Macaca mulatta: one gene and its partners. The protein of the gene in region 6 purifies or fractionates together with the protein of the main gene of each other region. This does not show direct contact. Links are inferred from orthologs where the notes say so. Each region holds a gene or a part of one and is shown on either strand. Other genes may lie near its edges. The genes, in order: UBR2, BCS1L, KDR, PLXNA1, FAM241A and NRP1.

Region 1 (4,605 bases), on a different chromosome or scaffold from region 6:
TATAAAGAAATGTGACTTTTTGAAAGAAGGCCAGGGAGTTTTTCTAGCTTTTTATTTTAAAGATTTCAAACATATAGACAAGTGGAAAGAATTGTCCAGTAAACATTCATATACCTACTACCTAGATTTAGTAGTTTGCTATATTTGCTTTTATATTTACGTACTTTCTTGAACCTTTTGTTGTAGACATAATATTTCACGTCTCAAAGAAAAGCTTTTCATTTACTAATTTTCATAACCAGCCATTGGCCTGATAGTTACCTGCAATTGTGGCAACTTTGAATGTTTTTTGTTTAGAGTTTTTTAAAATATTATTCATTTTACTTATTCAGTGTTTTATAGTCACTTATAATGATTATTCCTTTTGATGCTCAAATCATGCCCACTTTGATCAGTGGGAGTTTATTTAGTCAGTTTCTGTGTCCTTTTCACCCAGCCCCATTTGGGCCAGAAAGTACCACCTCACTTTCTGGCCCAAAAGATGCCCAAGCTCATCTTATACTTTCCCTGCCACAGACCGGTAGTCAGCTATTTGCTGAGGTGTTTTTAAATGAATTTATGGTGCTATGATAGGAGTTTATAAATGCTTTGATTAAAAAGGATTATTTCTGTAAATGTGTTCAGTGCCATTTCTTCCTAAATGATAACTGTGAGAATTATGCTACCAGGGGACAGGGAGGAGTAATTTTGTTTGCTTCTAGATCTCTAGTTTTCCTTTTTGCTCTCATCCAAGTAAATGAGAGAAAGAGGAGAAACCACCTTTCCCCACTGAACACTTTATTCATGGATGCCAGTTTTTACCTATTCTTTTTCTCTACCGTATTGTTTCTATGGATTAATACTGTGGTTTTTGCTTTCTTTGTTTCTGGTGTGTTTATTTTAGGATAACCACACAGAATACTCCCTAATTTCATTCACTCATCACTATAAAATATTAGGTTCTTGGCCAGGCACGATGGCTCATGCTTGTAATCCCAGCACTTTGGGAGACCGAGGTGGGTGAATCACCTGAGGTCAGGAGTTCGAGACCAACCTGGCCAACATGACGAAACCTGTCTCTACCAAAAATACAAAAATTATCCGGGCATGGTGGTGGGCACCTGTAATCCCAGCTACTCGGGAGACTGAGGCAGGAGAATCGCTTGAACCCAGGATGTGGAGGTCGCAGTGGGCTGAGATCACACCACTGCACTCCAGCCTGGGCAACAGAGTAAGACTCTGTCTCAAAAATATATATATATATATATATTAGGTTCTCTCTTACTTTCTCTTTCCTTTTTATTAAACGATCATCATTTTCCCTCAACATTACTCTTAATTTGTCTTTAGACATTTTACATAATTAAGACACACGATTTATTTGCAAAGAAACCTCTCCCTTATCTAGAGTCACATCCCTAATGCACGCCACAGAGTTTTAGATGTGATAGAATATTAAAGATCACAAAGGTCAATCTCTTCCCTCTTAGGAAAAAGGCACATTTTTCCAGAATGGCAGCACCAAAATCAAGAAAATCGATAATTGAACATTTCTGACTACAGACTAATAGAAAATATGGACTTAACTCTTATATTCAAATAAACAGTGAATTCCTAGGGGAAGAAATTCATTTTATTCTGAATCTAGTTTTTATTAAAGGCAATGGTCAGAGCAAATAAACGTATTTGTACATATGTGCACCTCTTAATGCTAGTTTATTTTTAGACCTGTAAAATCTCAAGTACACCAGTTATTTTTAGCTGAATTTATATATAATTTTGCTAAAATACATTTTAGCAAATTCGTTTGCTATTAAAAGTCACTTTTGAATGCTTAAAGAATTCTAGTTGTTGGCAGCTTGTTTGTAAAAGGCACATATGTCACATTCTCAAGAAGTATTGAAAATCTCTTTGGTAGAGTCATAATCAAATTATGGGCAATAGGTGTTATAAGCAACTGCATTTATGTTCCTGTGCATAGGAATAAGTACTATGAAGTGTTAGCTGTTGTTATTGTGCCTTTTATTTTTCTGACATAGAACCTGGTGAAGCGCCAAAAAACTCTCCTAGCATACTAGCTATGCTGGAAACACTACAAAATGCTCCCTACCTAGAAGTCCACAAAGACATGATTCGGTGGATATTGAAGGTAAAATTTCCTACATTCTTCTGCTTTTTGTGAGAAATATTAAATATTTGTTACGTGTACATTGTGATGATATTTCATACAGGATACTGATACTTTTTTTTTTTGTAGACTTTTAATGCTGTTAAAAAGATGAGGGAGAGTTCACCTACCAGTCCCGTGACAGAGACAGAAGGAACCATAATGGAAGAGGTATAAACAGTAAAGTGTGATAATGCTAAAAAATTATAACAAGTTCAGTATGAACAAATTAAATTTATCTACAGTAAGTTGCCAGTTACAACATTGAAATTCCAACAAATATGCCACTATTTGTCTCTATTTGTTGTAGCAATTTTTTGTCTGCTTTTTTCCTTTAAAACATGTTAGGTCAACTTAAGAGTCTTTTCTCTTGTTTAAATAAGTGAGATTGTAGAATAGTTTTTAATTGGTATTTACAATAAAGATATTTCTGCTTTGGAAAAAAATGTGTGTTTTAGCATCTAATGGTCTAATTGAATGGAGCATAATTTCAGAGTTCAAGGGACAAAGACAAAGCTGAGAGGAAGAGAAAAGCAGAGATTGCCAGACTGCGCAGAGAAAAGATCATGGCTCAGATGTCTGAAATGCAGCGGCATTTTATTGATGAAAACAAAGAACTCTTTCAGCAGACATTAGAACTGGATGCCTCAACCTCTGCTGTTCTTGATAATAGGTATTAAAAAAAATTAATTTGTTGACCAGTTGTTCCCAACTAGGGGCAGTGTTGCTTTTTTTCCTTGTAAGTATATTTTTAAACCTAAAGTAATTTATTAGAATTCGTAGGTAAATTTTGTGACCTCCATTTAGAAGATTTAATCTTAGAAATCTCTGAATATAGATATGGTAATATAGTAGGGTATTTTCTGCAGAAGATCTTGGACATTCATGAAAGAATGAGTACACTACACTCAGTTATCTAGAGTGTGTGACATCTGTGTTGCAGATTAGATTGCTGTGAGAATTAAAGGAGATGGTTTTGATACATACCAAAGACTTGACAATCCAAGTTATCAAAACCATGTGTTAAATATATACATGCCTGGCCAGACACGGTGGTTCACACCTGTAATCCCAGCACTTTGGGAGGCCGAGGCGGGCAGATCACAAGGTCAGGAGTTTGAGACCAGCCTGACCAACATGGTGAAACCCTGTCTTTACTAAAAATACAAAAAAAAAAAAATTAGCCGGGCGTGGTGGTGTGCACCTATAATCTCAGCTAGTCAGTAGGCTGAGGCAGGAGAATCGCTTGAACCTGGGAGGTGGAGGTTGCAGTGAGCTGAGATCATGCCACTGCACTCCTGCCTAAGCAACAGAGCAAGACTCCATCTCAAAAAAATAAATAAATAATAAAAGTGGGCCGGGCACAGTGGCTCATGCCTGTAATCCCAGCACTCTGGGAGGCCGAGGCAGGCAGATCACGAGGTCAGGAGATCAAGACCATCCTGGCTGACACAGTGAAACCCTGTCTCTACTAAAAAATACAAAAAATTAGCTGGGCATGGTGGCGGGCACCTGTAGTCCCAGCTACTCCGGAGGCTGAGGCAAGAGAATGGCGTGAACCCGGGAGGCGGAGCTTGCAGTGAGCCGATATCGCACCATTGCACTCCAGCCTGGGTGACAGAGCGAGACTCCGTCTCAAAAAGAAAAAAATAAAATTTAAAAAATATATAGATATATATGTATATGCACACATACATACCTGTAGTCTGCTATTTTATGATTATGTAGAAAGTTTTTGGGATCGTTAATTATATTCATAACCTTTGTATTGCAGCCCTGTGGTTTCAGATATGACACTTACAGCGCTGGGCCCCACACAAACTCAGGTTCCTGAACAAAGACAATTCGTTACATGTATATTGTGTCAAGAGGAGCAAGAAGTTAAAGTGGAAAGCAGGGCAATGGTCTTGGCAGCATTTGTTCAGAGATCAACTGTATTATCAAAAAACAGAAGTAAATTTATTCAAGATCCAGGTAAGTCATAGCTAGATCCTCATCTTCCCGATTAATAACAACTACCAGTTAATGTGGTTGATGATACATTGAGATTTTTTAAATCTAAGAATGACTCCATAGACTTGGATGGTATCTTTGGCAGGTAACTTAGGCAGGAATTCCCCACTTGGCAGATGTGGAACCACTCCAGAAAGTTACATCTGAATCATATAGCTGATAAATAGCAGGGATTCAAAGTAAAGCTTTTCTTTGTGATGTAACATTACATACTTTGGCATTTCACAGTCTTTCCCATGCTTCAGTACACTTGCAAAGCCTTGGTCATTTGTTGACACACTGAAATAATAATTGCTTTGTCTTATTGATAGAGCCTGAGTGGAATCTCCTGAGAACAGTGATAGAGAGTTACCTATGTAAGAGGCAATCCTTGAGCCAAATTCTGACTTAGAATAGTGATACCACCACAGATCGGGTTCCCCAGAAAGCAGATTCTTGAGATACAG
Region 2 (5,389 bases), on a different chromosome or scaffold from region 6:
TTGTGATACTGATGTTATCACTTCAACGAACACAAATCACCCACAATCGAAGCTTCCAGTGAAGAAGCACAGACATGGAGCTGCACTGGAGTAACGCTAGGTATCTTGCACTAAACCAGTGGTTCCTCACCTATAGCATAACACGTTTGTAGAAATTTCAAACTCATTAACTGACTATGGCCTCAAACTAAATATGGGAACATAACTGAGAAATGAATGACAATTAAATTGCATACCCTGTTATACATGGCTAAAATGAGTTTAAGCTGAATAATTAGTAATTAATAAGAATGATAGGAATCACTTCATGAAATTGAGTCACAGAGAAGATGCAAAAAGAAAAAAAAAAAAAAAAGAAGAAACCAGGCGGGGCACGGTGGCTCACGCCTGTAATCCCAGCACTTTGGGAGGCCGAGGCGGGTGGATCGGGCGGGCCGATCACCTGAGGTCAGGAATTCGAGACCAGCCTGGCTAACATTGTGAATCCCCATTTCTACTAAAAGTACAAAAAAACAGTAGGGCGTGGTGGCACACGCCTGTAATCATCCCAGCTACTCCGGAGGTTGAGTGAGGAGAATCGCTGGAACCTGGGAGGTGGAGGCTGCAGTGAGCCGAGATCGCATCCAGCTTGGGCAACAAGAGCGAGAAACTCCGTCTCAAAAAACAAACAAACAAGCAAACAAAACCCAAGATCCTGCAATCTGATAGTCCCTATTTCCAGAATCCCACGACTCAAAACAACAGATCATAGGGATTCACAAGGTGGCTGGGAAGTGTGCACTCCCGTGGCCAGAGGGATTCTCTGGAAACCGCAGTCTCCACTTACTGAATATTATCGCTGCTCTGGGGAATCTTCCAGCTTGGCCATACATGGCCTCCGGGGGGAGCCAAGGAGGACGCTGAGCCGTCAAGATTAAGAACCTTCACCTGAGGAAGGGCAAGGTGAGGTAGGAGACAGGTGGGCACGAGAGAAGAAATACGCTTATCTTCCGGGCAGGAGGACTGAGGAAGAGAAAGGACAGACTAAGGCAGAGAGGAGGTCTGGAGAAATAACGGGTCCCGGCCCAGGGACCCAGGTTCCCACTTGCCTCTGGCTCTGACTCACCGCGTAGCCTTGGACAGACACAGTCGCATCGCTTCTCTGGGCCTCAGCTTTCCTGTCTGTAAAATGGAGGTGATGACAGTGTCCACATCGTCGGGCGAGAACTGGATCATAAGAGCCAGCGAACGGGAAAGGCGGCTTGTAACCTGGAAGGCTTGGGATGGAGCATCGTCATGATTTTGGTCCTGAGAGCAGCGGGTACCGGGCGGGGTCCAGAAGCGTGACGCAACTGCGGTGCCGGGGCCCAGCTCCTCTGGGTGCTCCCTTCAGTACCTCCTCCCGAGAGTTCCCAGAGCCCAGGCCCACCCTGATCCCGGGGCTCGAAAAACTTTGCCTCCAGCTTGCTTCACCCGCGTTCCCTTCCCAGTTCCGCCCCGCAGCTACTCACCTCCACACCCCGAGCCGGCTGGAGCCGCATCTCTATGGTCGGCCGCGGCTGGAGCGGCCCCCGGTGCCCCCTTTGTGCGACCGCCTCCGGCCCAGCCGCCTCTAGGATATTGGGGATGTGGAAGCCACTCTCTCTTCCTCTTGCCGGCTGCCGGGGTACTCTATGTTTTCTCTCTCTGGTTTTTCCCGCCCTCCACCCCAACTCCAGCCCTGAAGCCGGAGAAGCACCATCGAGAGCTCTGGGATAGAGTGGCGCGGGCTTCTTGGTGGGTGTGGCGGGAAGTCGATGAAAGGACCCGGGGCGGGGCCGAGCGCAGCTTCCCCAAAGTGCAGGCGCGGTGAAACCATCGAGACAGAGGGCCAGAGAGTCGTATCGGTGAGAAGGCTGAGCGACGGATTACCCCAAAGCATGTGGCTGGAGGCGCGAGCTGGGGTGTGGGCGAGGTTCCTGGGTGTCGCAGAGGGGCCGGAGGCGGGAGAGCTTTGTCTGTGGCCTTCCATGCATAGGTGTTTTGGAATTCTGGATACCAATTCTGAGGCTCAGCCGAGGTCTCTGCTGTCAGCTCATCTCCCTGCATGCCAGGGGCAGGGCAAAGTGGCCGGGGTTCGGGGTTGGAGGAGAGGTGTACTAGAAACAACTTCGCGCTTATCCCTCAGGATCTTATTGTCTACAATGTGACGATCCGTGGAGAAAGTAGCAGATGGGCAGATTTTCAGTTGGGGAGAATGAGGGAGAAAAGAACGGGCATTCCGAGCCAAGAGAACTGCATGAACAAGGAGTTGGGAGGTTGCTTACTTGTTGAACATATTTGTTGCGTATTTGCATATTTACTGAACAGGTAGTGTTGGGAGCTAATCCATGAAAGGTAGGTGGGCGCCGTATTGTAGAGGGCCTTGAGTACCAGGCTGAGTTTGTACCCAGTTCAGGGGTCTGTTGGGAGCCAGCCATTGAAGGTGCTGGAGCAGAGAGAGAGATGGAATTGGAGCTTATCCCTATGATGAAAGATCTGGACCCTTTTGTAGCTGTTCCGTGAAGCCAGAGGTGAAGACCTTTTTTTTTTTTTTTTTTTTGAGACAGAGTCTCGCTCTGCCGCCCAGGCTAGAGTGCAGTGGCGTGATCTTGGCTCACTGCAAGCTCCGCCTCCCGGGTTCACGCCATTCTCCTGCCTCAGCCTCCCGAGTAGCTGGGACTACAGGCGCCCGCCACCTCGCCCGGCTAGTTTTTTTGTATTTTTTAGTAGAGACGGGGTTTCACCGTGTCAGCCAGGATGGTCTCGATCTCCTGACCTCGTGATCCGCCCGTCTCGGCCTCCCAAAGTGCTGGGATTACAGGCTTGAGCCACCGCGCCCGGCCTAAGGTGAAGACCTTTTAAAATGCCATTTCAAGAACTATGATTTTAAAGACAGTTTAGGTGGGAGGTAATAAAGGTATAAACAGGACATTAGATATTGGGGATGTAAGGGTGAGGATATTTGAAGGACATTACTCATAACAAGGCATAGGGTTACTGACAAGTCAATGGATGCTTCTCCTTTGCTGACTGCAGCCAGTGGGCCCCTTTTTATCAAAGCTGGTCCCAGGGACGACAAAAATCTTGTCCATCCATTATCCTGATGTGAAGCCAGTTTATATAACTCTTTTTGGTTTAAGGCATCTCCAGACATGGTCCTCTGGTAGGAAACAGGTATGAGTAGACTAATGAAGGGCAAAATGGGATGAGGGGCCTGGAGTCTCCACCCTTGCATTCCAACACTACCCTTACCCCACAAAAGGAGGATATTGACCCACACAGTAGTGCTGACCTGTGGGCAGGGCTGGGGAGGTCCAGTTTCTAAAGTAATCTTGTGCTTTGTCCCTTCTCCACTGTTCCCCACCCCTAGGTTTTTGTAACACCCCAGGTCCTGTAAGGTTTGGTGTTTCCCTTTCAAGATGCCACTTTCAGACTTTATTCTGGCCCTGAAGGACAATCCCTACTTTGGGGCTGGATTTGGGCTGGTGGGTGTGGGCACAGCCCTGGCCTTGGCCCGGAAGGGTGCCCAACTGGGCCTGGTGGCATTCCGGCGCCATTACATGATCACACTGGAAGTCCCTGCTCGAGACAGGAGCTATGCCTGGTTGCTTAGCTGGCTCACCCGCCACAGTACCCGTACTCAGCACCTCAGTGTCGAGACTTCGTACCTTCAGCATGAGAGCGGCCGTATTTCTACTAAGTTTGAATTTGTCCCCAGCCCTGGAAACCACTTTATCTGGTAAAGTTGGGAGCTAGGGAGGGCTGTGCGAGTAGAAAAGAACGATGGAAGCTGGGTTTGACCCATTCACTCACTCTGTTTTGATCGTTCTTATTCAGGTATCGGGGGAAATGGATCCGGGTAGAACGAAGTCGAGAGATGCAGATGATAGACTTGCAGACGGGAACTCCTTGGGAATCTGTCACCTTCACGGCCCTGGGCACTGACCGAAAGGTTTTCTTCAACATCCTGGAGGAAGGTGTGGGATGGCACAGGCAGGCTTTCTCGGGACATTGCAGGGATGGGGACATTTGACATCAGATGAGCAGTTTGGAGAGGTGGAATAAGCAGGCTGTGGTGAGCCCATGGGAACAGGGGGCCAGAAGGAAGCTGTTTGGCTCAGCTCCACCTAACTGAAGAATCAGCCATGGTGAAGAGAATTACTGGCTTTATCTCTTCTCCTTCCCAGCTCGAGAGCTAGCCTTGCAGCAGGAGGAAGGGAAGACCGTGATGTACACAGCTGTGGGCTCTGAATGGCGTCCCTTTGGCTATCCACGCCGCCGGCGACCACTGAATTCTGTGGTTCTGCAACAGGGTCTGGCTGACCGAATTGTCAGAGATGTCCAGGAATTCATCGATAACCCCAAGTGGTACACTGACAGAGGTGAGAAGCAGCTGGGGTCTCGGCTGTGCTGTTTTTGACATTTTTAGAGGGGACAGGTTGGTCTCTGGCCAGATGAGGTGATATAAAGCTCTAGTCCAATTCCCAGAGATTAAGAGGAATGAAAAGTTGTGTATGAGAATGATTTACTTCTGTACCAAGATTATCAGGCTTCCAGGGGCCAGGGCTGGGAATGAACATAGATATCTGGGGCAAAAGACATGATCATCCTGGCTCTATCCCTAGGCATTCCCTACAGACGTGGCTACCTGCTTTATGGGCCCCCTGGTTGCGGAAAGAGCAGTTTTATGTGAGTATTCAAAATTTCTCTTAACTTGGCAAAATGAAGCCTTTTTGGAAACGCTGGGCTGATGGGGTTGGAAAGGGAAATGAATCTGGGAACTTGGGACCGGGGACCAGGATAAACATGAAATGTGTGGAACATTAGGGTGTGAGGTAGAAATCAGGCCTCTGAGACACAAGTCCCCAGACTGTGAGGAGAGTAGCTGGGCCTGAGGAAGCATTTCCAGGTTGCCTGCTACTTCCTGCCATCCCATCCTCCATAGCACAGCCCTGGCTGGGGAACTGGAGCACAGCATCTGCCTGCTGAGCCTCACAGACTCTAGCCTCTCTGATGACCGGCTCAACCACCTGCTGAGCGTGGCCCCGCAGCAGAGCCTGGTGCTCCTGGAGGATGTGGATGCTGCTTTTCTCAGTCGAGACTTGGCTGTGGAGAGTAAGTGAGGGGTTCTGGAGGAAGGGGAGTGAGTAACTGTGGAACAGGGGAAGAAAACAGAAATCCAGAGGGCTGGTGGAGGATGCCTGGGTTAGTGACAAGAGCCCATGAGACGCATGGATAAGTAGGGGAACATAGTGGGGCATGCTGATTTTATGCTGGGCTATGACTACTCATGCTTCCTTATCTTTGCCTTCCTCCAGACCCAGTCAAGTACCAAGGCCTAGGTCGCCTCACCTTCAGTGGACTGCTCAATGCCTTGGATGGTGTGGCT
Region 3 (4,605 bases), on a different chromosome or scaffold from region 6:
AAAAAAAAAAAAAAAAAAAAATTCAAGGTATAACTTTTGACTTCCACAAAATGTAAATAATGACCTACTGTTGACTGGAAGCCTTACTGCTACATAAACAGTCAATTAACACATATTTCATATGTTATATGTATTATATACCGTATTCTTATAATAAAGCTAGAGAAAAGAAAATGTTATTAAGAAGATCATAAGGAAGAGAAAATATATTTACTGCTCATTAAGTGTAAGTGGATCATCATAAAGGTCTCCATCCTTGTCTTCACATTGAGAAGGCTGAGGAAAAGTGGGAAGAGAAGGCAGTGGTTTTGCTGTCTCAGGGGTGACAGAGGTGGAAGAAAATCTGCTTATAAGTGGACTCATGTAGTTCAAATTTATGTTGTTTAAGGGTCAACTGTAATTGAACTGGAATTAAATTGAACTGGCTTTGAGTAAATCACCTTAATTTTTTGTTAATTCTCTTTCATTTACATAAATGTCTGAGTTTACATGGTAATTTGTGTGGCATCCTACTTATAAGCCTTGGAAAGGATTTTGGATTTTATATCATGAGAATGCATCAGTAAAGTGGAATTGTAAAAATACCTTAGATAATACTATTTATTAGAGTTGTAATCATAAAAGTGGCAACAACTACAACAAGTATGATTTAGTGAGCCCTTACTTTATTAGCTCATCTCATCTTAGTAGTTGAGATTGGAACTCAAGTTCCTGACTACAAAGCTATGCTCTTGACCTCTAGGTCATGTGGCCTCCCTAGCAAGAACTTGAAAGTTTCTTCTGAATGAACAAAATAGAAATCACTAAGTGTCCTAAATTTATTCAAATTATTTCACTTGCCAAGATGCACTTGCCAAAATACACAGAGAGAGACGTGCTCTGGCTTATGTTTTGATAGAAGTACTCTTGTTCTCCAGGATACTTCAGGGAAATAGGGGCAGAAACAAGGAGGTTAGTTGGGAGGCTAATTACGTTTATCCAGGTGAGAGTTGAGGAGTGGCTTGGACAAGGGTAGTTGAGGTAGAGATAGTGAGAAGTGATCTGCTTCTGGATATATTTCAAAGGTAGAGTCAACAGGGTCTGCTGATCAATTCACTGGTTGTGGAGTATAAGGGAAAAAGAGTGGAAGATGACCCAAGTGTTAGCATGAGCAACTGAGTAAATGGTGGTGGTATTTACTGAGATGGCAAAGATCGAGGAGGCAGTGAAATTTAGGGAAACAGTGTTAGATATGTTTCTCTGGAGATGCCTATGAAACATCCAAGTGGAAATGTTTAATATATCAACCTGGAACCCAGAGGAGTCAGGGCAGAAGGCACATATTTAGGAGGTATGTGAATGCTACTTTAAACTTGAGGCTAGAGGAAGGTGTAAATAAAGAGGACGTCTGAAGACTGAGTCCTCGGGCCTATTAACACATGGTGGAAGAGGTGTGTGGAGTGTGTCTTGGGAGCAGAGGAGAAGGAGCACCCAAGCATCTCTGGGGGACTTAGAGAAAGCTGCACAGAGGAGCAAGTGTTTGAGTTGAGACTTGAGCAATCACTAGGCTTATGGGAGTGCACTAGTGGGGAGAGAAAAGCAAATGCAAGCACAGGAGGTGTGGGAGAAACACGGGAGGTGTGGGAGAAGCTGAAATGTGACCCACTAAAAGGTAGTACATGGAATCTTGGAACTGCAGCTACTCAGACCCTCAATGTTTTTGATGTTTCACTTGAAATGAAAAACTAAACCAAACGACCATTTACAATAAGCTGACCTTTAAAAAAAAATTTCTTGCAGAAAAACCTTTTGTTGCTTTTGGAAGTGGCATGGAATCTCTGGTGGAAGCCACGGTGGGGGAGCGTGTCAGAATCCCTGTGAAGTACCTTGGTTACCCGCCCCCAGAAATAAAATGGTAACTACTAGAAATAAACACAAAGCATCATTTCATGTGAGAGCAAATCCTTCGACTGTACTAATTCCTGAGAATTCTTTTTCATAGGTATAAAAATGGAATACCCCTTGAGTCCAATCACACAGTTAAAGTGGGGCACGTACTGACGATCATGGAAGTGAGCGAAAGAGACACAGGAAATTACACTGTCATCCTTACCAATCCCATTTCAAAGGAGAAGCAGAGTCACGTGGTCTCTCTGGTTGTGTATGGTGAGTCCATTCAGTTTTCCTCTCTGCCCAAGATTTATTATGATACATTGTCTTCCTAATCAGCCAGGCCACCATTCCTCTGCCTCCAGCTGCTTCACTCACATCATGGCCGGGCCTATGTACAAAAGTCATCTGGGGTGGTGAAGCTGAAGTGAAATGTAGGACTGTGTGCTCTGGCCATGTTTGTTTAAGAGGCCATGTAAATGAGCTTTGTGGTGGTCAAATGCAAGATTAAAGTAGTGATACCCTCGATAGTTTAAATGTTGTGAAAAAATAATGCCCACAGGGATAGTTGTCAAGTTAAGTTATACTACAATGTTCCCCTCTCATGGAATTGCCCACCTGGCACACAGATGTGTAAGACCCTTCTCCTTAGATTTTGTGCAAAGCTTCTAGTTTGATATTATAGTTGATGTATCAGTGAGGTACAGGCAGATTCCTACTCTGAAGGCTTTTGAAGTTGGCATTGTTGGCTTGGTTGGGGGCTTTTTTTTTCCTTTTTGACAGGAGTTCAGGGTCTGATTTTGAGTCTGTAAAGGCAAAATAGTACGTTTTTGATTTAAAGATGATTTGAACTTTGTTTTCTGAAACTGAAAGGTACAAATAAGTGTTTGGAATGGAATGGTGAGAAGGGTGCCATGGTCAAGTGAGTGTGAGGTGCTAAGGTGATGTGTAGATGTGTAACAGGTTTCTTTATTACAGGGACTTCTCAGAACCTTTTATATACTAATGTATATTGGTATTCTCTAGGGGGAGAGACATAGAGTATTCAAGGTTTAACAAACCTATTTGACTGGAGCATCGTTTTTCCCCTGAGCAAATTCATTAATCTCTCACTCCAAACAGTTTGAGAAATGCTTCTCTGTTGTAATTCTTTGTTCCCCCTTCTGGTATGGCATATTAAAACTTCAGGATATTTTCCCATGGCATTAAGGTGCTTCCCTATGTGTCCTAATACTCTTCTGTAGGCTGCTGAACTTGGCGTTATTTTTTTTTTCAGGGAATATTTTAAAGATAGGTTGGGCATGGTGGTTCGCATTCGTAATCCCAGCACTTTGGGAGGCCGAGGCGGATGGATCACCTGAGGTCAGAAGTTTGAGATCAGCCTGGCCAACGTGATGAAATCCCGTCTCTACTAAAAATGCAAAAATTAGCCAGGCATGATGGTGGGCGCCTGTAATCCCAGCTACTTGGGAGGCTGAGGCAGGAGAATCACTTGAACCCAGGAGGTGGAGGTTGCAGTGAGCTGAGATTGTACTCCAGCCTGGGCGACAAGAGCAAAACTCCGTCTCAAAAAAAAAAAAAAAACAAGATAACAGGTTCCACAGAGGTTGTTCAGAAGCAGCATAGGTGTAGGGGACTGGGGAGAGGAGAAACTGGAAAGTGTATAAGTAGGATGGGAGGAGAAAATGAACGGGAAATAAAAACAAAACATGGACAGCAAATAGCCCATTTCATCAGTTCATGAAGCCACTAAATATTCTATTCACTTTAGCATATACTCTGCTATGTGAAATAAACATAAAAAAGAAGTCAAGTCTTGAAAGCATAACCTGAGGCTTTAAGTTGACAGTAGTAACGAAATAGTTTTGACTTTGGAGTCAAAAAAGAAAGAAAGGAAAAAGGGAGAGAAGAAAGAAGGAAGTGAGAGAAGGGAGAAGGAAGAAAGGGGAAGAGGGAAAGGGAGTGGAGAGGGAGGGAGGGAGGAAGAGGGAGAGGGAATGAAAGACTCAGATGGTGGTGGCAGTAATGCATTCTCTAAAGATTTATGCCTTCCTTTAACATGAGGTGGTTTACGTGTTTGGGTTCAGAAGTCAGAGTGTCTAGGTTTGTTCCAGGTTTTGCCGTTTGTTAACGGAGTGACCTTGGGCAAGTCATTTTTTTCTGTATTTCATTTTTTCTCGTGTATAAAGCTGAGGATAGTAATAGTGGTTGTGAGGATTAAGTGAATGAATTCATGCAAAGCACTTCAAACAATGCTTGGCACATAATAAATGTATTTACTGTGCTATTTCAGCTATTTTCTGTAGCCTTCCCCTGATCTCGTGAACTTGAGAGGACAGAGAGAACTATCTCTGTAATGCAGATGAGAGGCACAGGATTCCAACACTTGCATAAAGTCATTCAGCTTGTTAGTTTATTAGCTTATTGCCATTTTTATTTTATTTTGTTATTTTATTCAATTTCTTTTTTTTTTTTTTTGGTAGAGGTGGGGTCTCACCATGTGGCCCAGGCTGGTCTTGATCTCCTGGGATTAAGTGATCCACCTACCTTGGCCTCCCAAAATACTGAGATTACAGGCATGAGCCCCCATGCCTGGCTAGTTGTTATATGAGTATCACTAGAACTCAGGTCTCTTGTTTCCACATCTAAGTGTTCTTCAAAAAAGGAAGTGGAAGCAAAATCACATGCTTAAAGAAAGTCAGCTTTAGTTGCTGAAATCCTCTATTTCCCATTCTT
Region 4 (5,214 bases), on a different chromosome or scaffold from region 6:
TCCCAGCATTTTGGGAGGCCGAGGCGGGCAGATCACTTGAGTTTGAGTTTGAGACCAGCCTTGCCAACATGGCAAAACAAAAATTAGCTGGGCATGGTGGCACATGCCTGTAATCCCAGCTACTCGGGAAGCTGAGGTGGGAGGATCACTTGAACCCAGGAGGTGGAGGTTGCAGCGAGCTGAGATCGAGCCACTGCACTCCAGTCCGGGTGACAGGGTGAGACTCAATGAGCCTGGGTGCTGTGTCTCATGCCTTTAATCGCAACACTTTGAGAGGCTGTGGTGGGAGGATCACTGGAACCCAGGAGTTTGAGACCAGCTTGGGCAACATAGAGACCTCATCTCTATGTTGAAAAAAAATTAGCCAGACATGGTGGTGCCCATCTGTAGTCGCAGCTACTCAGGAGGCTGAGGCAGGAGGATGGTTTGAGCCTAGGAGCTTGAGGTTACAGTGAGCTCTGATTGCACCACAACACCCCAGCTTGGGTGACAGAGCGAGACCCTGTCTGTCTCTAAAGGGGAAAAAAAAAGCAGACAAGCAAAACCACCTAGTGAAAAACCAGTTCATGCCACTAGATTTGCAAAACTAAAGAGTGCCAAGTATTGGTGAGGATGTGGCACAGCCAGACCCTTCCACATTCCTGCTGAGCTGCTGGGAGTGTAAACTGGGACTTTCACTTGGGAAGACGGTTTTGCTGTATCTCTTAAAGCTAGATATATCCTACCCCATGACCCTGCAGACCATCCCTGGATCTAAAGGTGCCCACTGAGAGGCATGCACAGGATGCTCATCATAGCTTTGGTCATCATGGCCCCAGGTAGGTGACAATTCCATGTCCATCAGCAGGAGAATGGGTGAGCAGGCGCCCAACGCGGCAGAATACCACAAAACAGGCTGCGAGGACGATGCCTGCGAGCAGCCGCCCTGTGCCCCTCACCACACAGAGCAGACGGAGAAAACAGCACAGGCTGAGTGACCCCGTTTCCATAATACCCAAAACAAGCCAACCAAACAGCGTCCCATTCTGGGATGCAAATATAAGAGGTCACACCCAAAGAAAAGCAGTTAAAGATGAACACAAAAATGAGGGTTGTGGCTGCTCCTGAGGAGGGAGGAGCAGGGTGAGACTGGGAGGGACACCTGGGCCCGGTATGAGTCCCTTCCCTTTCCCTCCTAACCATGTGAACTGTAGAGGGTTCCTCTTCTGTAGGGGTGACGTGATTCACACAGCAAAAACCGCACCCCACAGGCTACAGATGGAGGCCCAGTCCCCAGCCGGGTTTTCCTGGCCCTTTTGCTCTGTTATTGATGCTCCCGCTGCCGGCTTCCCCTTGGCCTGGTTGCCCTCCACCGGGACGCCCTCCCGGATGCCTCCCGCCTGCGGGTGGCGGTTGTGAGTACAGTCACCGAGTGCTGGGTGTCTGCCCCTCAGCCTTGCCATGCAGGCTGGGGGTATTGCCTGGGCAGCTCCGGCTCGTCACCCTGGACTCTGCAGCCCCACCCCTCGCACCCTCCAGACCCGCTACCCCTGGCTCAGCCGGAGTTCGCGTCTCACCACGCCTCTGCCACGGGACTTTCCTCCCTGGGCCGCGTCCCCAGCCAGGAATGCGCCACCAGCCTGGGGCCTGCAGGGGGCGCCCGGGCTCCCCGCGCAGGTGCCCCCCCATCTGACAGAGAGGAATGCGCGAGGCCGAGAGCTAGGAACACCCGGCCCCGCAAGGTCTGGGAACTGCGACTGCCTCCTTCAGCCTCAGTTTCCCCTCCCGTGAAAGGAGGCCATGCTCCTAGCCCGGACACACTGAGCCAGGCCCTGTTCCCGGAGTCGCGGGCTACCCCGCTCGAGGGCGGGTGGGCTCCCGGAACTGCTCGCGCGGCCCCGGCACCCAGAGAGTTGAGGCGGGCAGCCGTATCGCCCTTTGAAGGCGCGCGGTGGGCCCCTGCGGGCGCGCGACGCGGGGCAGAGCGCCCTCTGGAGGCCGCCGCCGGCCCCGCCCCCGCCCCGCCCCCGGGCTCTGGGCGGCGCATGCGCGCGGCGCGGCGCTCCGCGGGCGGCGAGAGCGAGGCCGGTCCGCAGCCGCGCGGCGCTCGGCGCCCCATTCATGCTGGGCATCGGCGGCACCACCACGCAGCGGAGCCCGGGCGCGGCGGCGGCCTCGGCCTGGGCGGCCTGCGCGGCTTCGGCGGCCCCGCGGCGGGGCGGGCGGCGGCGGCGGCGCGGGCGGCTGGGCGCGGCGATGGCCGGCGGCGGGGCGCGCCCCGGGGCGGCGGGTGAGTCGGGGCGCAACTTTCCCCGCGGCGCGGGACGGTGGGCGGGGGCCGGACCGGGCGGGGATCCCGGGCCGGGCGGCCAGTGGGTGGGCGCGGGGCGGCCTCCGGCGGCGGCCCTCTCGTGAGGCGGCAGGCAGGGGGTGTGCGCGGGGACTGCGGCGCGCGTGTCCGCGGCCCGCGTGTCCCTGCGGCTCCGGCCCAGGCGTCCGCGTGTGTCCGGGCGCGGCCGCGGCGCCGACGCGGAGAGACCGCACCCCCGTGCGGCGGGGCTGGGACCGCGGCCCGGGGCTCAGCGCCGCGGCCTCCCCCGCCCCCCGGCCGGGCCCGCCGAGCCCCGCGGCAGATCCGGGGCGGCGGGGGGCGGGCGCTGCCCCTCCGCAGACGCTGGGGATAAAGTTTGCGGCGGCCCCGCGGGGAGGCCCTTGCGGTGCCCAGGCCCGGCCCGGCCGCTGGACCTCGGCTTGGACCTCCGTCCGCGGGCGAGGACGGGATGGCCAGGCCTGGGTTGGGATCGGAGCCGCCCGGCAGGGCCGCGGCGGCCGGAGGAGGTCGTGCGGGCTAAGCCCCCGGCCAGCCCTGGGGCGCGGGGTGGAAGTTGGAGCCACTTCCCGGGACCACCGCTGCCACCGCCCCCTGTGGCCCGGGGTGCGGGGAAGTGGGCTCTGGGTGCCGCCTGGGAGGCCGCCCCGCTCGGGCCTCCTCGGCCTCCCCCTCTCGGGGCCTCTCCAGGGTCAGCCGCTTCCCCCGGAGGCTTCCGATTGCTTCCTGGACAGTCCCGGGCCTGGTGTGCGGCGAAGCTGGAGGCGGCGGGCAGATTCCGGCTGCCAGGGGAAGGGGGAGTGGGGACTCCAGGGAGGCCCCTCAGCCGGCGTGAGGTCCCAGGTGCAGCCCTGGAAAGGAGGGGAGGGGTTCCGAGGGGCGGCCCCGGGCCGCGAGCTGCCCCCGACTTCTGTGTGGGGTGCTGGGGCCACGCCCCTTGAAAGAAAGGGGTGTGTGTGCGGGGGAGGGGACGTGGTCGAGCCTCTGTCCTCTCAGCGCGGCTCCTTTGGCTCGGGCTGCTCCTTGCTGCCCCACCTCCTTTCACACGTAGCCGGTTTTGGGTTCGGTGCAGGGATGGGGCGCAGTCTCTGCTCCCCGGGCCCTTGAGGAGCTTGCCTCAGGTCCCCTCACCTTCCTGCGGTTTGGAGTGTGCGGCAGAGGCCAGGTGCTGCACCAGGGGCACCAAGACGCTGCCCAGCCCTTGAGGAGCACCAGCCCCCTGCCAGAGGCAGGCGTGTGAACCAGTGATTCGCTGCACGGCCAGGCTTCCATTCCTGGGGGGTGCCGGTGGGGCCCAGGAAGGGCGTTTTGGGCAGAGAGGACAGCACGGGCAGAGGCCTGGGTTTGTGGCCTTGGTGTGTGCTCTGGGGGCAGGGGACACATGAGGTGCCTGTGGACAAAGCAGACAGCCCTTTGCTGGACTCCTGGCCCCCCATGGTCGTTGCCTGCTTGTTTTGAGCCCCCAGGAAAGGCCCCCGTGCACACAGCAGCTTAGAGCAGCTGGCCGGGAGGAGAGGATGCCCCAGGGGAAGGCCCGCAAAGGTGGGCACTTTTTCTCAAGAGCAGGACTCCAAGGCCTTCAGATCCAGATTCCCTAGGACTGGTGGGGAGCAGGGCCACTGGGACCACCTCCCATGACCCCCGTTGTGGGGGAGGCGGGGTGCCAGGAGCAGCTCTCTTTCCCCAGCTGCTGCTGTGAGCCACCGGGCAGGATGGCAGCCCCACACCCCAACCTGCCTGAGCCATAGCAGGATCCGGTGCAGGAGGACTTGGGGGGATTGGACTCTCCCTTGTGGGGAGGGCTTTGGGGGCCTTTGTTTCTCAGGGTGAGAGGGAGCTGTGGTGTCACCCAGGCCAGGAAAGGAAAGGGGACACTGCTGGCTTGGCGTTCCACCAGGCGGCGATCCCCTCCTATCCAGGAGACGAGCCCCTGGGCTGGGGCTCCTACCCGCGGCTGCCAGGTCTCTCTCCGCCTCTCTCCCTGGCTAGCCCCATCAGCATCCCAGCACTAGTCCAGTCTCCCCCGCCCTGGCTCTGGCTCTGCCTCAGCCCAGAACAGCTTTGGCCATGCCGGAGAGCCACAGCCATTCTTACTGCCCTCTTTGCACAGCCAGTGTTTCCCACCCCAGGCCTTTGCTCCTCCTATTCTGCCCCCCACCCCCACCACGAATGCCCACCTGCACCAGCTTCCAGGCTACCTGGTCCCAGAGCAGGTGGAAAGGCCCTTGAGGACTTTCCCCGGCCACAGTGGCCAGCTCTGCTCCTCGGTAGAGTACAGCATCTGCTGGTGCTCCCCTCCCAGCCCCAGCATGGCCCCTTGGCACGCTGGCACCTGGCACCTGGGCCCAGCTTTGGAATGAATGCATTTTTTCCTGGGCAGACCCAGGCCTGTGAGAGTTGAGCCCTGCAGGCTGGCTGGCCAGCCCAGTCTCTGGAAGCTCAGAATTTGGGCCCTGTCCTGCTGGGACTAGTTGGGTGACCTTGAGTCTGAGCCCCACGTCTTATACCCCTAAGGTGGAAGAAGTAGCCCAAGCATTGTCAGTGGCCTTTGTTAGATGCTGGGCATGAGGGACCCAGCCCTAGGCTTGGGGCTCCCCCTTTCTTGGCCGGCAGCCCTGTGCCCGCAGGCAAGTCCCTTCCCAGCAGCCTCTTTTGGGGCAGTAGGGTGAGGGTGGGGCTTGGGGCGGTGGGCCCAGGGCCAGGCTGGAGTTTGGATGGTGGCTTCTTAGCCTGGTGCCTCCTGTTGAATATAAAAAGTAGGGCCCATAATTGCATTAAGACGTGTATAATTATCCCAGAGGAGGGGAGAGCCCAGCCCCTGGTAATTGCAGGCCTGCTTTGAACTGATAAACGGTGAGTGATTCATGTTTTCTTTGGAGTTCACATGTGCTCAGCTCCCAGCCCTG
Region 5 (5,120 bases), on a different chromosome or scaffold from region 6:
TTTCTTTCTAATTTTTGATATCCAATAGCATATTTTCTGGCCCCTAGAGACTGTTTGTGGAAGAGACAATTAGAGAGGGCGTGTGTGAGAAACTATGTGTGAGAGATGGTGTGTGCGAGAGGTTGTATATATATGAGACAAACTATATGTATGTGAAATCATGTGTGTATGAGAGAGATTGTGGGTATGAAAGATTGTGGGTGTGTGAGAAAGACTGAGAGTCTCCTGACTACAAAAAACAGGAAACAGGTCTTAAAAATAAGCCTATGGGATTCTGCCTATTTTAATTCCTTTTCTGGGCCTGAAAACATTTTAATAGAAGGTCCCAAATAACTCTTACTCTTCTTCATGTGTACACATGTTTACTTTCCATATTTACTTTTCTGATATTTTACCTATACAATAACCCATCGCTTTCTCAATGTACAGATAAGGCATACACAGAAAAAAGTATATTTTATTTAAACACCCCTCCATTTTCCTTGAACAAAATGGATGGGGTAGTACAAAAAAGAATTACAAATTGGATATATTCCCCTTACCACCCACTAAGAAAGATGTATTCTTAGCCAGTTATAGAAAGATACACCATTGGATACACCATCAAACGACCCAAGGCTCCAATAAACTACACACACTAGGAAGCACTCAACAGAAAGGGACAAATACACAGACCTTCAGTGAGACACTAGGAAAGGAGGCTAAAGGAACAAGAGGGACAGTGAAATGTGTGTTCCTTGAAAAGGATGGGCAGCTACTCAGGCAAGAACAGGGGGACCCTGCTGGAGAGTGTAACTGGGTGTATGTGTGTTTCTCTCTCACATGCAAACCCACACACACTCATCTCTTACACAAATGCACTCTTAAATATATCTACTGGCTCTCTCACACTAGTTTCTCTTTCACACTTGATCTCTCTGTGTTCTGTTGTTCCCTCATACAGTCTCTCTCTCACACAGTCTCTTGCATACACATACACTCTCTCTCTCTTTCTTTCTCTCTCTCTTTCTCTCTCTCTTTGAGATAGGGTCTGGCTCTGTCACCCAGGCTGGAGTGCAGTGGTGTGATCTCTGCTCACTGCAGCCTCGACTTCCCGGGCTGAAGAAATCCTCCCACCTCAGCCTCCTGAGTAGCTGGAATCAAAATGCCACCACCACGCCTGGCTAATTGTATTTTTAGTAGAGACGGGGTTGCCCAGGCTGGTCTCCAACTCCTGGGCTCAACCAATCCTCCCGCCTCGGCCTCCCAAAGTGCATACAATCTCTTATATGCAGTTTCTTTTCTATAGAATCTCTCTTACACACACAAATGACGCTCAACGTCTGTCTCACACTCTCTAATGGTTTCTTACACACGCACAATGTCCCTCATACATACACACAGCCTCTCTCATCGTGTACAATCTCCCTCATGCAGTCTATGTCCATAGTTTTTCACACAACCCCCTTCTTCTCTCAGTCTGTCGGCCTCTCAATCTCTCACACACATCCCCCCCAACACACCCCGTTGGCCCCGCCCCCTGTCTTGGCCCCTCCCCTGTATGGCTCCGCCCCGACAGCCGGGGGTTGGGCGAGCCAGTGACAGGAGGGGCCGGGCTGGTACTTCAGGCGCCCAGGCCGGCGGGGCGCGCTCCGGAGGCTCCTGTCAGCTGCGGGTGCGGCAGATCGCAGGGCAGCCCTCGGGCGGCGGCGCTCCCTAGTGCGTCGCGGCGTGGTCCTCCGGCGGCTGTCCCGGGCGGCAGGAGTTGGTGGCGGGATGTGCTCAGCCAGGGAGCTGCTGCGGGGCGGCGACGGCGGGGAGCGCGACGAGGACGGGGACGCGCTGGCGGAGCAGGCGGCGGCAGGGACCGAGCGGGATCCCGATGCGAGCCCGCGGCGGCGCGGACAGCGGCCGAAAGAGAACGAGCAGGTGAGCGCGGGGAGGGGCGGCGGCGGAGCGTCAGGGTCTGGGGCCGCGAGCCCCGCCCAGCGGTGGAGGGAAGGGATCAGGCCAGTGGGCCGCGCCGCAGCTCTGCCCCGCGTGGGGCACTGGCTCCGCGGCTCTCTGGGAAGCCGCCGCCGGGAGCGGTTAGACGGCGCTCCCGGGAGGAACCGCGGGGTCGCGCGAGTGCGGACGCCAGCGCCAGCCGCGGGGTCGCGTGTCTGACGGGGTCAGTGTGGCCAGTCCCCTGGCGTCCGGCAGAGGATTCTCAGGCCGGCGCCCAGGGCTCGGAGGAAATGCCCTCCATAGTGGTGATTTATTTAAAAGCCTCACTTGTAAACACTTCTTTTTCAACTTCGAGTCCGTGCCTTGCGCCGGGACTCCCCTCCCGCCCTCCATCTTGCGTTTCCGAGCCCACACCTAGCGTGTCTGGAAGGTGTGGGTGGATTCCGTCCAAGGGCAGCGCTGAAAGCATGAGTAGGAGCGGGTGTTACAATGGATGTCTTGACAGGGACTCTCCCAGAGCGAGTTCTTCACATAAACACAGATGAGATCAAAGCTTCAGTTAAGAAGTGGAGAGGCAAGAATATTGCTTTCGGTTAGCATTATACTAAAGAGAAAGAAGTATAAGAGGCCAGCCATAATAAGGGAAGAGAGAAGTTGGGTTATTTTTTAAACTCGCTGAGTTTGATCTCATTTAAATAAAGTGTGATAATGGGCATTATAACATCAGATATCTTAAAGATTAGACAAAAGGTTTAATTTTAAAATTGAATTGTATGTTGGATGAATTTTCTACAGCAAATACAGTATTTAGACTTTCCAAATACCTGAGGTAAGCCAATCTTTAGAATCACGTTAAGGCGCAGGAATTCAAATGATTATTGGCCTTTATTACAGCCTGTACTGTTAGAACAATTAATACCTGTCTCTCCTCATCTTTCTTCATCTATCCTTTCTGTCACATTTCACAAATTCCAGTATCATCACTAAATGCGTTAATAGATGTATACCTTATATTGTTTCAATAGGTTACTTAGGAAACAGAGTAACACTGTGCAGCACACAAAATATGCCTTAGCGTTAGGTTTGTTCACCACGTGGAGTGTAATTTTTCATCTGTGACAATATAAGAGAAAATGACTCAAGCAAATAATTTGGTAGCTAGTTCTTCTGATTGCCTTCCTAGTGGTTTTTCCCGTTAACTGTACTCAGTTGCTCAAGGGCTTGGTTTCCTCTAGCTTAAATTGCTCAACTGGAAAAGTGAAGAAGACAGCACAAGAATTCCTTTGGGGGTGGGGAGGGGGTGCATTTGAGCAGGGGTTTCCAAAGTAAATTTTCAAATGGTTGTAAGGGAGCATATAAAATACTTCATTTAAGCTTCTGTGCACTTCATTAGTATGATTATGTAGACATCACTAATAGCTGTGGTCTTTCCAAAATTGCTTATGTTACAAAGTAAAAGGATAAAACAAAAAATGAAATGTATATCTTAGAAAACAGATATCACTTTGCATACCTGCTCCTTCATTGAATGTCATGAAAGTTCATTTTTCATTTTCCTGTACTCTTTTGAAGTGTTATTTTTATCATTCTCTTTTTGCCTCAAGATTTATTAATGTATTCGAAGCCCCCATACACAATAATTAAAAATCACTTCTGAGATAGGCATTACCTACTACATTAGCAGCAAAGAAGAATTTGTCAAGAAGCCAAAAATAAGCAAAAACTTGGTGCAACCCAACCCACTGGTGTAAAAAGCAAACTTTTCTGATAAATCGTTTCTTGGTAATATTATATAAAGCCTTGCTGTTTTTTTTCAAGTCCTGTAAATGTAAAACTGTTATGCGTTACATGTGTAAAGATATTTGAGGGAGAAATGTAATTAACAACAATGGAACATATCCCAAGGACTCGTTTTATTTAGCTTTTATTTAAGGAGATGATTTTTGTTTGTCTTCTTGGTGGTTTTAAGGATACAAGGACGCCAGATTACAAATGGAATATTTTTGAAAGATTGGTTTCTAAGTTAATGATTTAGAACTTAAGGTGAACTTTTCCATGAAAACCATGATATAAACAGAAACAGAACCAAAACTAATTAGCTAGAAATGAGACAGAGGCCATCTTCCTGCCGTCTTTTCTGCTTGGCACGCTCACTTGGTGTTCCAGAGTCATGGATAGCCTCATGGATATTGAGAGGAAATTAGAGGCAGGAGCTAGCAGAGGCGCTCCTTCTAACCCGGAAAAGAGCTATGGTTGTATGCTCTTGAACTCGGTAACTCCAGAGGCACCTGACTTGTGCTCCTCTAACTCTTTCAGTGATTTTGTCAACACCTACTTTTCTGTACTAAGTCCCTTTCTATTTCTATTCCCCTCACAGAGTTTGCCCTTTCCTGATAATTTGATGGAGGTTTCTTTCTTGGGCTATTTCTCAAGCTAAAGCCTCCTCCACATACATCCCTTCCTTCACTGATTTTTCTTTCCACTTCTATCTGAAAGGTTCATTCCTTTTCCTCAACCTGGAAGGCTGTTTGATCAGCTTGTTATTATAATACCAGAACAAAATGTATCTTTATTTTGTTATTTATTTCATATAATACTGAAATGCTAGTATTAACATAGGTGTTTTATTACTAGTTAAGATATTGTCTGCATCATTTTTTACAATTTGTCCTTAGATGCTACTCCATTTGAGCAAAAAAAGAAGGTTCCCCTCTGTCCTTCTGGCCTGAGTCTTTCCAGGTAGGGTGACTGACAAAGGAGGCCTGGTTAAAATCAAGTCACTTAAGAAAGAAGGCATTGGGAGAATGAATCAAGTCCCGTAGATGAAGAAACTGTGCCAGGTTTGAAGTAGGATCGGGTGTCTAAAGAGAGAGAAGCAAGGGAAAGAAGGAATTTCAAGGAATGACCAAAGAACTGAAGAGACAGGACATAGCTATTCCATATATATGTTGGTAATAGTGTGCATGAGAGATGATCCAAGTATGTTCATGAGGGTGAATGCCAGGTGGCTTTACCTAAAAATTTCTGTGCCTTGATGCATAGCTGGAAGGCTAAACATTTCCAGTCCATTATTATATAATCTTAAATGTCAATAGCATCTGACTAGATGTGGCACAATGTACACTTACAATCTGAAATAACCTAACATGACCCTCTTACCTAGAGAATAGGGAAGTCCCATTATCCTTAGATTG
Region 6 (5,078 bases):
GAGGAGAAGACAGGCTTGACCCTGGGCGAGAGAGTGGCGAGTGCGGGCCCCACGGGTGCACCCCCCACTGACCCGGGACCCGCCCGCACCCCGAGGGACGCGCGTCACTGCGCCCAGCCGGAGCCGCGAGCGCGCAGTCCTGGCCTGGGGCCCGCGCGCCTTGGGCTTTCTCCCTGCCCGCCCCTTTTTCTTCCGCCAAAACCTTTGACCAGAGTCTCCTTGCCAGCATTCCTACCTCCCTTTGGCCAGCTATTTGTGCCAGGTAGGAATCAGGCTGCACTTTGGCTGTGTGTGTAGACGCCAATCCCCAGGAGGTGTGTGACCTTTTCACCTTACCCACAAACTCCCTGGGAGGTGGCCCGTGGGCATTGACCCTTCTCTGGGGACAGATCGGTGACCGCAACCTGTTTGTTCCCTGAAATGTCCTTGCTTTTCCCATCTACACACGCTTCCTGCAACAGTTCTCGGAAAACCCTCGGAGATGGGCCTGGGGGGCATCCAGCGGGCTGGGGGCACGCGCCGCTGTGGGAAGTGGGGGTGGCAGGAGCTCGAGGGCCGGCGTGCACGTTGCCTGTGGTTGGGAGCGGGCACTGTGAGGGCGCAGCCAAGAGCACCCCTCCCCCGTCACTCTTTCCCTCCCTCCGGATGCACAGAGAAACGGAGGTCACCCGACCCCTGATTTCCACACCCCTCCCTAGCACCTGGGCTCCCAGACAAGGTTGGGTGGTGTCGGGAGGCGCTTGCCCCCCAGCTTGGAAGGCGCAGCACCTCCCCCCTCCGGTGTTCCCTCTGCCCCAGAGGAACGGGCACCAAATCTCGGGAAACAATGAAGCCTCCGCGGCGCGCAGAGGGCACCCGGGAGCGATCGGCACCCAGCCGCGCGCCCTGATGCGGGCCAGTGAGGCCGCGTGGGGCTGTAACCCGGCCTCGCCCGCCAGGCGGTCTGACTTCGCTTCACACTGCAGCGACACTGCCACCCCTCTCCCGTCTTCGCGGTGCGGCTTCCACTCCAGCCCGGCTTTCCCCTCCTCGTCCTCCAGTTCTGGGCGGGGGCCTCCAGGGGTGCCCCACTGCTCCCCGCCACAGGTCTCAGGCTGGCGCGATGAGGAGTGGCAGGGGGTGACCCTGCGCTCCTCGCCGCCGCGGGCGCGGGCCCCAGGATTTGAAGTTGCGAGAAGCAGCCGCCACCTCCCGGGCGCTCCGCACTGCGCGGCAGCGGGATCTACGCCTCCAGGAGCTGCCCAGCTCTCCCTCTAGGGGTGCAGAGCGAGCACGCGAGGTGGGCTGGCCAGACTCCGCGGCTGGCACCGACCTCCGCGCCCCTTCCTCCGACGCCCGCACCCACGCGCCCGGGGCGCAGACTCCCAGCGCCTTCCTTCCCGCGGAGATCCCTGCAGGATCTCCGGGAAAGACAGACAGACGGACGGGGAGAGCACTCGGAGGGAAAGTTGTTCCTCCCAGTCTCCTGTCAGGCAATTACAGGCGAGCCCGAGCGGGGAGAGGGGCGGGATGAAGCGAGGGAAGGGCTCCGGAGTGGGGGGAGGCCGCAGGAGGGGAGGAGGGGGTGCAGTTGGTGAAACTCCTCTGTCTCCCGCTCATCTTTTCATTGCTCGTTCCTCTCCTTCCCGCAGACACCCGGACCTCCCCTGGGCGCCAGCTCCGCGGCTCCAACGGGTCCAGAAACAAGCCGGATTTTTTTTTTTTTTTCTTCCTGGAAATTGGCTTTGGTGTGTGTTGCCCTACCTCCCTCCTCCCCCTCCCACCCACAGCCCCCCCTCCCTTTTTTTTTTTTTTTTTTTTTTTTTTGAGACATGGCCCGGGCAGTGGCTCCTGGAAGAGGAACAAGTGTGGGAAAAGGGAGAGGAAGCCGGAGCTAAATGACAGGATGCAGGCGACTTGAGACACAAAAAGAGAAGCGTTCCTCTCGGATCCAGGCATTGCCTTGCTGCTTTCCTTTCTCCAAGACGGGCTGAGGATTGTACAGCTCTAGGCGGAGTTGGGGCTCTTCGGATCGCTTGGATTCCCCTCTTTGCTGCATTTCCCCCCACGTCCTCGTTCTCCCGCGTCTGCCTGCGGACCCGGCAAAGGGAGAATGGAGAAGGGGTTGCCGCTCCTCTGCGCCGCGCTCGCCCTCGCCCTCGCCCCGGCCGGCGCTTTTCGCAACGGTAAGTGACAGGCGGAGGCGCGGGTGACAGCGGCGCCCAGGCTCCCAGCTGCCCGCCCCGGACCGGGGCTCAGGCGGGGCTTCCCGGGATCAGCCGGGAACAGCCGACTCCCGGGCAAAGGAAACTTTTATCTGGGAGGAGAGATGAAGAAATGAGATCAGGCGGTTTAGGGCAGGAGGATTTCAGGTCTTTGGGCTCCCTCCTGACGTTGATCGTTGGGCTGCGGGGCTTTTCCTTACCTCTGCTACAAGACAGAGCTGCCTACCTTCCCGGATCAGCACGCCAATTATCTTAATAATGTTTCCTCCCAAAGGCAATTAGAAGAGACTCCCTTTCAAAAATCTGATGGCTGTTGAAAGTTAATGAACACTTTACCAGGAGATCTTACTTCCTGGTTCCTTTGCTGTGCCCCTAAGCCGTTTCCTCTGGTGGGTGATGGCCAGAGATATCGGTTTGTGGGTTGATGAAACTCCCTCCCCCGCCTTTGTACATCTTCCCTAATCTGTCTGGAGTATGACTGAAAGTTACATAGTATCAATACAGGAATCTGATATATACAGTGTAAGGCACCAGGATATCTGAAAATCCCTAAGCTAGTTGCAGCTTCCACTCAGCTTTTAAAACCACTCACTGTCAAGTAAATGAAAAACTATACTGGGGTCTAAACAGTACCATGTAACCTAAATAATGTGTTTTAAAATGGGATCTGGTTGTAGGCATGTTTGACTTCACACTGTAAAGTAAGTGCAGGCAAGGGTATGCAATTATCTTTACAGTAAGTCGTCAGCAATTGTTATTAACTAATGATCAAATATTTACTTTTGTCTGGCTTAGATTTCAATCACAGTAATTAGAAGAAAAGAACATCCACTACTTACTGTGGTATATTGTTTTAACAAGAGACCGCCCTCATACCAACAGGAATTTAAATCACATCTTTATGATGGAAGTTAATCTCTCTAATATGCTTTTTCAAGGTTTTGTGATTTCAGCAATGGATTTCCCTCAGCAGCTACCAAGCAGTATTCTAAAGAGATGCTTAAAGCAAAACACATGCAAAAAAAATTATGAACATGGAGTTCAACTTATTAGTGAACCCAAGTTGATGGCATTTTTCTATAATCTGGCAGGAAAGCAAGACACAAAAAATTATGAATGTAGAGTTCAATTTATTAATGAACCTGAGCTGGTAGCATCTTTTTATACTCTGGCAGGGAATGAAATAGCATTCTCGTCCAACTGAAAGAGCTCAAATGGTTGGACTAGAAATTATAGTAACCCTGTCCTCCACAACTCTTTGAGAATAAATCCATAGCAGGGGTGTTCACAAGCTCAATGCAAAGAGCTATCAGACTTTAGGTTGTGAACTACACAAATATATATGCAGTACACACACACACTTCTTAATTTTCTTAGCAGAAATATGGGGAATGCTGAAAATCTGGCTTTAGTTGGTGAGCTTGACCAGCAAAAGCCATGTTGCTATGCTTGAAGTGACCAGAGCCAGAAAATGCCACTGTAACTCAGCAGAACCTCTTAAAGCCATGTCCACCTCCTCTAAGTAACCAGTGTCTGCTAAATTAGTTCATTAACCTTATTTAGGACTAATGGTCCAGAGTCATTAGAAATTGCTCTTTCTTAATCAACTGCTAGAGAGATTTAACAGAGCCAGAGAGTCTAGCAGTCCACATTATCTTATTACACTGTCACTTTCTCAGAAGTCACAGATTAAAGAGCTCTGGTGTGGTACCAAGTCCACCTAAATGTCTTCTGAAGTGACTCTGCTGAGTGACTAGAACCAGGGCTGTTTTATTTCACTCCTGTAACAGATGCCAGACACTACCATGATGTTTGTCCAGAGCTGGAGGAGACTTAATGAGACGAGGTCACTTTCCAAGTTTTCTGCACATTCAGAATAATGCAAGAGTCTCAGTAGAATCACAGAACAGAGTCCAACATGATCATTAGCTGAGATTTTGAACTCCAGTTACAACATCATTTCTTCCTGGCAAACCTTACACTTTTACAAGCCAATGCAAAGGAAACCAGAATAAGACTACCCCCAGTCTAAGGAACAAAGTCAAGCACCTAGTGATTGAGAAAAACAATATAACTTATATTGTCTTCTTTTTTAATTTATGGGAAATGATTTCTGTGATGCATGTAGCTTTGCGCATTTTTGATGTGCACTTCATCTTTCATTTCCATTTGACCTGGTTTTCCTGTAATAAAATTCTGTAGATTTATAAATTCATGCTGAGAGCAAAGAATGCCATTCTCTTTCCACAGAGAATCTATTAGATGCAGTGTTAAAATCTATATATACCATTACTGAAAATTTGTGATTGATAGGCTTATATATTTCACTGCTTTCATACCTGTTTCTCTTGTATAGTTTATGCACCGAATTTTTATTGCTCAAAATTAAGCATCAGTAAATGTGGCAGCATTTCAGGCTGAGGTGCTCCAGTATGAAATCCATCATAAAATGTGACAATGAGAATCTATGCTGAACAATAAGGCAGTCCAGAGACTAGTTTATTTGGTTTATTTGGCTTCACTTGAGCATTTTTGAAGTGAAGGCTCAAAACGAGTTAGCTCACCTTTCCCAGAATGTGAGAATGTGGGTTACCATACATGATACCCACACCTGTGTGGTGGGTTATTTTTCACCCAACATTTAGGTAATTAGAATTAATGCCATGTGGCTATTTACCTTTTTTTTTTTTTCTGCCCCTTTGCTTTGATCTGATTTTTAAGAATGAACAACCTTACTTGGAGAAGTAAAGCAGAATTATTTCTGCTTCACCAAATATACTTTGTTCTCTGTTGATTTGGATCTCAAGAGCAGAGAGAACTCAAAATCACTTAGATTTATGGGCAGATAAAACAACAACAACAAAAGGTTTGGCT

The links.
Region 1: the proteins of NRP1 (region 6) and UBR2 purify together in Homo sapiens (affinity purification with mass spectrometry; 3 studies listed by BioGRID and IntAct, counting the BioPlex papers as one, with this or other methods). This does not show direct contact. The link is inferred for Macaca mulatta from reciprocal best matches to the Homo sapiens genes NRP1 and UBR2.
Region 2: the proteins of NRP1 (region 6) and BCS1L purify together in Homo sapiens (affinity purification with mass spectrometry; 3 studies listed by BioGRID and IntAct, counting the BioPlex papers as one, with this or other methods). This does not show direct contact. The link is inferred for Macaca mulatta from reciprocal best matches to the Homo sapiens genes NRP1 and BCS1L.
Region 3: the proteins of NRP1 (region 6) and KDR purify together in Homo sapiens (affinity purification with western blotting; 7 studies listed by BioGRID and IntAct, with this or other methods). This does not show direct contact. The link is inferred for Macaca mulatta from reciprocal best matches to the Homo sapiens genes NRP1 and KDR.
Region 4: the proteins of NRP1 (region 6) and PLXNA1 purify together in Homo sapiens (affinity purification with western blotting; 4 studies listed by BioGRID). This does not show direct contact. The link is inferred for Macaca mulatta from reciprocal best matches to the Homo sapiens genes NRP1 and PLXNA1.
Region 5: the proteins of NRP1 (region 6) and FAM241A purify together in Homo sapiens (affinity purification with mass spectrometry; 3 studies listed by BioGRID and IntAct, with this or other methods). This does not show direct contact. The link is inferred for Macaca mulatta from reciprocal best matches to the Homo sapiens genes NRP1 and FAM241A.

Annotation. Positions count from the first base shown.
Region 1 is NC_133409.1:139,480,660-139,485,264, reverse strand, and holds part of UBR2 (E3 ubiquitin-protein ligase UBR2), read left to right. Parts: intron 1-2,018; coding exon 2,019-2,128; intron 2,129-2,236; coding exon 2,237-2,317; intron 2,318-2,640; coding exon 2,641-2,819; intron 2,820-3,920; coding exon 3,921-4,120; intron 4,121-4,605. UniProt on the Homo sapiens protein: E3 ubiquitin-protein ligase which is a component of the N-end rule pathway.
Region 2 is NC_133417.1:123,899,404-123,904,792, forward strand, and holds the start of BCS1L (mitochondrial chaperone BCS1), read left to right. Parts: upstream 1-1,852; 5' UTR 1,853-1,865; exon of another isoform or gene 1,866-1,898; coding exon of another isoform or gene 1,899-2,038; exon of another isoform or gene 2,039-2,847; intron 2,848-3,370; 5' UTR 3,371-3,419; coding exon 3,420-3,739; intron 3,740-3,837; coding exon 3,838-3,977; intron 3,978-4,187; coding exon 4,188-4,382; intron 4,383-4,625; coding exon 4,626-4,689; intron 4,690-4,945; coding exon 4,946-5,115; intron 5,116-5,318; coding exon 5,319-5,389. UniProt on the Homo sapiens protein: Chaperone necessary for the incorporation of Rieske iron-sulfur protein UQCRFS1 into the mitochondrial respiratory chain complex III.
Region 3 is NC_133410.1:78,388,772-78,393,376, forward strand, and holds part of KDR (vascular endothelial growth factor receptor 2), read left to right. Parts: intron 1-1,779; coding exon 1,780-1,894; intron 1,895-1,981; coding exon 1,982-2,145; intron 2,146-4,605. UniProt on the Homo sapiens protein: Tyrosine-protein kinase that acts as a cell-surface receptor for VEGFA, VEGFC and VEGFD. Plays an essential role in the regulation of angiogenesis, vascular development, vascular permeability, and embryonic hematopoiesis.
Region 4 is NC_133407.1:156,974,300-156,979,513, reverse strand, and holds the start of PLXNA1 (plexin-A1), read left to right. Parts: upstream 1-1,671; 5' UTR 1,672-1,721; intron 1,722-2,037; exon of another isoform or gene 2,038-2,100; coding exon of another isoform or gene 2,101-2,184; exon of another isoform or gene 2,185-2,269; intron 2,270-4,644; exon of another isoform or gene 4,645-5,161; intron 5,162-5,214. UniProt on the Homo sapiens protein: Coreceptor for SEMA3A, SEMA3C, SEMA3F and SEMA6D. Necessary for signaling by class 3 semaphorins and subsequent remodeling of the cytoskeleton. Plays a role in axon guidance, invasive growth and cell migration.
Region 5 is NC_133410.1:121,399,847-121,404,966, forward strand, and holds the start of FAM241A (uncharacterized protein FAM241A), read left to right. Parts: upstream 1-1,542; 5' UTR 1,543-1,755; coding exon 1,756-1,908; intron 1,909-5,120.
Region 6 is NC_133414.1:34,717,576-34,722,653, reverse strand, and holds the start of NRP1 (neuropilin-1), read left to right. Parts: upstream 1-1,602; 5' UTR 1,603-2,092; coding exon 2,093-2,165; intron 2,166-5,078. UniProt on the Homo sapiens protein: Cell-surface receptor involved in the development of the cardiovascular system, in angiogenesis, in the formation of certain neuronal circuits and in organogenesis outside the nervous system. Mediates the chemorepulsant activity of semaphorins.